2 linked regions of the Danio rerio genome follow. The protein of the gene in region 1 interacts with the protein of each later gene in a biochemical or structural test. Links are inferred from orthologs where the notes say so. Each region holds a gene or a part of one and is shown on either strand. Other genes may lie near its edges.

The links. The genes of interacting proteins can lie anywhere in the genome.
Region 2: of the proteins of dapk3 (region 1) and pawr, one has a biochemical effect on the other in vitro, tested with the Homo sapiens proteins (2 studies listed by BioGRID). The link is inferred for Danio rerio from reciprocal best matches to the Homo sapiens genes DAPK3 and PAWR.

Annotation. Positions count from the first base shown.
Region 1 is NC_133177.1:40,494,860-40,497,988, forward strand, and holds the end of dapk3 (death-associated protein kinase 3), read right to left. Parts: intron 2,834-3,129; coding exon 2,788-2,833; intron 2,709-2,787; coding exon 2,175-2,708; 3' UTR 501-2,174; downstream 1-500. UniProt on the Homo sapiens protein: Serine/threonine kinase which is involved in the regulation of apoptosis, autophagy, transcription, translation and actin cytoskeleton reorganization. Involved in the regulation of smooth muscle contraction.
Region 2 is NC_133179.1:22,060,896-22,065,134, forward strand, and holds the start of pawr (PRKC apoptosis WT1 regulator protein), read right to left. Parts: upstream 2,801-4,239; 5' UTR 2,537-2,800; coding exon 2,066-2,536; intron 1-2,065. UniProt on the Homo sapiens protein: Pro-apoptotic protein capable of selectively inducing apoptosis in cancer cells, sensitizing the cells to diverse apoptotic stimuli and causing regression of tumors in animal models.

The DNA.
Region 1 (3,129 bases):
ACTGTGGGGGGAGCACCGAAGAAAACCCAAGCGAACACAGGGAGAACATGCAAACTCCACACAGAAATGCCAAGTGACCCAGCCAGGACTTGAAGCAGTGACTTTCTTTCTGTGAATGACAAAAAAATGAGTACAAACTAGAAGGATCATGTTGAAGCCAAAGGCAAAGAGAGATACGCACTGCTGATTTATGTCTACATCTCATAGGAAGCTAAAACTGTTCTCAGAATATTCATATATGCCATGTAGTTTAAAGTTGTCAAAGTAAACAGCTGCATCGACATGACCCCAAAAATGCAAATGTTTACCTCAGCAGCAAAACACCATAATGTTACAATGGAGATGGAAAAATCTTTTGTGTAATTAAAACTGGGGGACTTTCAACATCTCTAGACATGTTGCAAATGAAGATAAAGAGTTTATGACAAATGCTGGGATTTATGTAACACCCCACTTGACCTCCCATTGCGCTCACACACACCAAATAAAGACACGCTGACTGTGGTCTTCTTCAGTACTTTTATTCGAATGGGTTTTTCGTATGTTTATATAAACGTAATAAAACGACACAATAATGGATACAGTACTGTAAGCAAACAGATATTGCCATGACTTTAACAAGCACAATTATTTCCTGAGAGATAATTATGCTCATTTACATATGGAATGTCACACACAAAAAAAAATGGAATGTTCGAAGTGCGCTTTATGCAAAAAACAAAATAAAAGTCTGTCATTATTTACTTGCCCTCGTGTCATTTCCCAACCTGTATGACTTTGTTTAGCAAACCGCAAACTGTTTTGTACATACTATGAAAGTCCAAAACAATTTTAACCTTTACATTCCTTAATAGAAATAAAGTCATACTCGACGTGGAAAGAACTGAGAGTGATTAATAATAATTTTGAGGTGATCTATTCTTTTAAATTGAAGCAGCTTACCAAGTACTATATATATCTACCGCTCACCCAAAGACAGCATTTAGGACCATTATACATTTTAAAAGTAATTTAATTTATCTCACATCATAAAATAAGGATCTGATTTGCATAGGAAAGCAGACATGCAGCACCACAAATCAATTGGCATCTTAAAATTCCTCATAGAGGATTGTGTAGTGCAATGTTTCTCAACCCTGTTCCTGGAGGACCACCAGCTCTGCATATTTTCCATGTCTCCTTAACCAAACACACCTGATTCATCAGCTCATTAGCAGAGACTGAAAGACCGGTAATGGGTGTGACAGACAAAGGAGACATCCGAAACATGCAGTGTTGGTGGTCCTCCAGGAACGTGGTTGAGAAACACTGGTGTAGTGCATTACTTTTAATGTACATTAATATCCTTTGTGTTGAGTGCTGTAATTGATTCTCAAATCTTAAATATATGTATATATATTTTTTATCGACTATTCCAGCATGTATAATTGAGGCTGCGAGTACACAAGCTAAATGTTCGCTTCAGCTGCAACAAACTGATACTACTGTATATTGCACAAGCGAACAGCTCATTCTTAATGCATGCTCACCTTTAGAGGAAAAACATTTTTAACCGATCGAGCATTTGTTCTAAGAGTAGCACGAACCCTACAGGATTACATGAAGCTTAACGCAATATTTAAAGTTTAGTTCACTTTCTGAATGGAAGTTTCCTGGTAATTTACTCGCTCCCTTTCTTCTTACTTTCTTTAGTCGAAAATTAATGAAGGTTTTTGAGGAAAACGTGAAGTTTCTTAATATATTGGACTTCTATTGTACTCTGTGGATTTAACATCCAACCTGCTGTTTTCATGCAGCTTCAAAGGATTCCACAGACGAAAAAATAAGCAAAACGATTAGTCATTATTTAGAAGATCATAAACTTTTAAACATAAATATCAGATTTCTTTGGGTAAGACTCTTATTCCTCATCTGAAATCTTTTAGAGTAGTTTAAAAACTATTGAACACCATAGAAGTCCTCTATATGAAGAGAAAAAAATCCAGCATATTCTCCCTAAAAATCTTGATTTCTTCGACTAAAGAAAGCAATGAATAACTCTGATGAAAAGGGGGCAAACAAATCATTAAAAAAAATGTCAATTCTGGATGTGAACTAATCTTTTAACACTATATATCTCTGCACACACCAAGCGAAGATAGTAGATAGCCATTATTAGATTGAAAAAGCAAACCTCAAGCCATGCTGGTGCTGCGAGTGTGGTTTTCAGCTGAAATGGTGCGCACCAGCTCCTCCACCCAGCGCACCTCGGAGTCCATCTGCTCAGCCAGAACTTCGTATCGGTTCTCCAGTCGTCCGAATTTGCGTTTGAGGGCATTAGCTGACAGCATGGCAGCACGTGCCTCCTCCTGGCTCTGTCTGCGCAGGGCTTGTGCTTTCTGCAGCTCCTGTTTGATCTGACTGAGGTCTGCGGCGATGCTTTCGTTCTCCTCTTTGTACCAGCTTTCCTTCTCCTCATATATTGAGAGCAGAGCGGTCACATCCTCACCACACGATCGTTGGTTTTTCTCCAGCTCTCGCAGGCCTTCTTCGGCCGCTGCGATCTCCTCCATGACCTGGGAGAATCGCTCGAAGTTGATGTAGGTGTTGTTGGGAGGCATGCTGGAGTGGGATTTGATGGTGTACTCTTTGAGACGGGTGGTCTTCAGACGCCTGCGTTCAGGCTTGCGCTCGCTCTCTTCGGGTCGAACATTTCGTCTCTTAATGACCTGATGGGACAAGAACTGTGTTAAACACTGAACAAATGGTGGCACAAGTCAAATGGGAGGAAAAGTAAAATATTTGAACCTTGATCCACGAGTGCTGGAGACTGTCCTCGATTGTCATTCTCTTTCTGATTGTTAAAAGCAGATATGAAGATAAATGTCAATACAAACAAATGAAAATATTTGGTTTGCTAATATTTATATTTTTAATTATAGTATTTACAAATGTTTCAAATTAACTTTATTAGTATGTCATTCTGTTATATGCCAATGTCATGAAACTGAAAAAACTAAATAGGGAAAAACATATTTAAGGTTAAATAAGGTTTAAAATAATTTTTAACTGATTTCATTTAATTACTGATGATTTTAGCCACTTTTCCACTATCAGGCCGAATGGTTTTGTTTACTTAATTCCAATCTG
Region 2 (4,239 bases), on another chromosome or scaffold:
CGTGCAGAGAGACACTGGGGCATGAGTGTGTATACTTGCTCTCAAAGACACCCTAACATTAAGTCTTGGCCTGCCCCCTACTTCCCAAACTACTTTACCTTGGCACAGTGCGAGGGGCTAATGACAGGATATCTCCAGCCAAAGCAGACATACTGGTCAGCCTCCAACAGCAACTATCCGCAGGGCAGTGGAGCTGGGTGGTAGACATTCACATTGGCATATGCACTAACAAGCCTCCCACTGCTCATGCAGGGGAATGTGACGGGTTGAAAGGTGAGAGATAACGGTGACAGATTTGGAGGCTAATTGTTATGGTGAACCGATCTGCTAATGAAGTGTTTTTAACTAGAGGAACAGCCGTACCGTGTTCTCCATCAGCTCCATCCCATGATCTACAACGTAACTCAGCAACTCACAGTCATTATAAATCATGAAATGGAGAAAATATGTATAATGTGATCCCAATCTGTTAGTCATCAGACTTGTTGCCTTCTAGTCTTGATTTATAGGAGTGTTGTTTGGAGGAGAACATGCATTAAACAGATATTTCACCAAGATTACATAATGTAGGTATGCGAGTTCACTCATTAAGTGACATTTAACGATGGACTTCACAGTTAAGTTATATAAATTGGCCAGAGTTGAGCCTAGATAAGCAAATCTGGTTGTAATAATGTCAGTTTTAGACAAAATTACCAACAAATTACTTAGAAAAAAAAAAAGTTCTGTGGTATTTGGACACTGATTATGATTTGTTTTAGGCACGTAGGATGGTTAGTAGACGTAAGATTGCAAATATGGCTGTAATAATGCAAGCAAGCTTGTATACTTTAGTTACTAAACATATTTAGAACACTTTCAGTAAGCAAATATGGTTGCAACTCAGGATATGGGCCTTCGCCATGACAATAATATGATTTCTGTGTTTATTTTTGTTGTTGTTCTTATCATACTTTTGGCAAATTCATGCAGCCAATAAAAAGAGGCATGATGGTTTTATCTTGTATTCCTTACTGTACACGTAAATATGGCACATTATATACTAAGACAATGCGGCTTCTTTTTAAACTAACATGATGGTAACAACATTGCATTCTTCGAAGAGCATGCAAATACATTGCATATTAATATTTTCAGTAACAGAGGCTTTATATTCACACATTCATCCACTTGTGACACACTCCCTACATTGTTTACTATGGCACTTTGAATATTTGGTCTAAAATAACCTTGCAAGTATGACTTGAAAACAACATTTACACAGTTTATTTGACTGTGAACAATGTTGTACTTTGATAGTCACTAGCTGCTAATATGATTTTGCTATTTAGAGTTTACAAATAAAAATTTCATAAAATTATATTATTAAGGAGAAAGTCTGAATTTGCGAATAAAAGAACAACTTTACTTCTATTATTCAGTACCAAAGTTTACATCAAAGTATCCTAAGCAAGTATTAATTACCAAGAACAGACAGAAAGACAGACAGACAGACAGACAGACAGACAGACAGACAGACAGACAGACAGACAGACAGACAGATAGATAGATAGATAGATAGATAGATAGATAGATAGATAGATAGATAGATAGATAGATAGATAGATGACGTAAATAAGCACCTGATTATTGTTTACCTTGCCATGGTTAAAATGGTAAAAACATGCTTTTAATTCTAGTTACAAAATATAAAGCAGTACTTTGTTTGTTGACATTACGCCATTGGTAACACCATTTGAAAACTAGCATAATGGCATGTTTTAAAGGCATGTAAATAAAGCTTCATGTATAGCAGGGCTCACTATTAATATATAAAAAGATTAATAGAACAGAAGGTATTTACACTTTTTGTGCAATGTATATTTGTTAAAATGCATGTTTTACACAATCTATAAAATGTCTAGATCTGGAAACAACTTAAACAAGCACCATGTTATTATTTTGTTTTGAAAGTGTAGCAACCATTAAAAACAATGTCTATGACAGCTGTTGTAATAAGCAGCATTTTAGTAGGCTTCTGCTATTGCCTTGGTGAAAAGGTAAACTTTAAAGCAAGTGAACTGACCTCGTTGGACGGTATGCTGACAACACCTGTTGACCTCCTCTTCTCTCTTAACTTCCTCTTCTCGATCTGTCCTTTGCCCTTTCTGGCGCTGGGTCCCGAGCTCTTCTTCTCTTTGCTCTTGCTGTGTGTGGGACTCTCCTTATCACTGTCATCCACACCGGCGGGGCTCGGGCTATCCGCCTGCGGGACTGCGCTCACTTTCTCCGGCGTCTTCTTCAAGTTTCCCCCGGGCGGCTCGGATGTCTTGGGCTCGTCCTTCAGAGCGGATGAAGAGGAGGACCGAGCCACCGGATAAGAGGGCGCAGAGGAGACGCAGTTCACCGAGCTGCTGCCGTTGTTGTTTAACTCCGTGGTTCTGCCGGTGGCGGCGGCGATATCTCCAAGCATCTTTGCTCTCATCTTTTCACGCTTTGCTTTCCATTCCTCCAGAAAGTCTGTCGCGCTGTTAGATTTAAATCCTCCTGTTGCCATGATTTGCTTTCTCGCAAACGTCTCGTGTGAATCACTTTGTAAACACAGACAAGAGTACACGCACTTTTTTGTTCAGATCCGCGACATTCCTCAGAAGTCTTTCAAAATAATCACAAAGACTTTAAAGTTGTCCAAAACTGCGATGAAGTCGCTTCAGAGCAGCGTAAAGCTGTCAGAAAAGTATTGTTTTGAAGGAAAGTGTCCGGTAAAGCTCACCTGCGCGCGCAGGAACAGTCGTCAAGAGTTCAGGTGAACTGGTGGAATGAACTGGATTAGTTGCAGGCGCGCTCAAACGCCGAGTCCTGCCCCCGTTTCCGAAAGCTTACGTAAATTAACGGAAACAGCCGACAGCCTTTTGATAGCGAGCTGATGCTGCTAGGCAAACTTTTTTTAGGATTATATTATATTATATTATATTATATTATATTATATTATATTATATTATATTATATTATATTATATTATATTATATTATATTATATTATATTATATTATTGCTACAGTGTTAATGAAATAGGTAATGAGATATATGATATTATTTGTTTAACAGACAGACAGACAGACAGACAGACAGACAGACAGACAGACAGACAGACAGACAGACAGACAGACAGACAGACAGACAGACAGATAGATAGATAGATAGATAGATAGATAGATAGATAGATAGATAGATAGATAGATAGATAGATAGATAGATAGATAGATAGATAGATAGATAGATAGAATAAGCATCTGAATATGTTTTATATTTTAGTTACAAATATATAAAAGTGGTAATATGTTTGTTGACATGTCATTGATAATACCATTAAAATCTAGCATAGGCTAGTGAATCCTTTTTTAGTAATTGCATGCTTGAAGGCATCTATACATCTATAAATGACCATAAAAAGCTACTGCTACTGACACTTAAGCATTTTAAAACTATTTAATGGAAGGATGGACATGACAGATAGATACAAATTGGGAACTAAGGTGGTAAAAATGCACAGATTTAAAATGGTAACATGATAATGCCATGTTTCTGTGCTTAATTAAAAAAAAAAAAAACTTGCCTAACCATGTGGTTGTGTCAGTATTTGTTTAGTAGCACTTTAGCATTTAGCATCTTTGTAATGAATGGATAGATGAATGAATGGACTGTAAATAAGGACAGACAGACAGACAGACAGACAGACAGACAGACAGACAGACAGACAGACAGACAGACAGACAGACAGACAGACAGACAGACAGATAGATAGATAGATAGATAGATAGATAGATAGATAGATAGATAGATAGATAGATAGATAGATAGATAGATAGATAGATAGATAGATATTTCTCCGGTGCTGAGACATCAGACAATGTGTATGAGAGATGAATCTGCCTGTTCTCCCACAGGTCCTGTGAGAGCATGAGTCACTTGTTTCACAGACTTTGGCTGTTTGTGACCTCAAGACTCTCACAGATGATAAACCTCAGAGTGTTAGATAACAGAAGTGCACACAGAGTCACGCATCTGACTTTCACAATCTCTGTCAAGCCATCAAATCATCTGAAAATTGGTATTTACACATTTTTGACACGTACTAAGATATATCACAATGTCCAGAATCCTCTCTGAGGGGAAGCTGATGTTTAAAATCAATCAGAGAAAAAAAACACATAAATATACTCCTTTTTCTGGAATGCTTTAAGCAATGTATGTTGAGTAA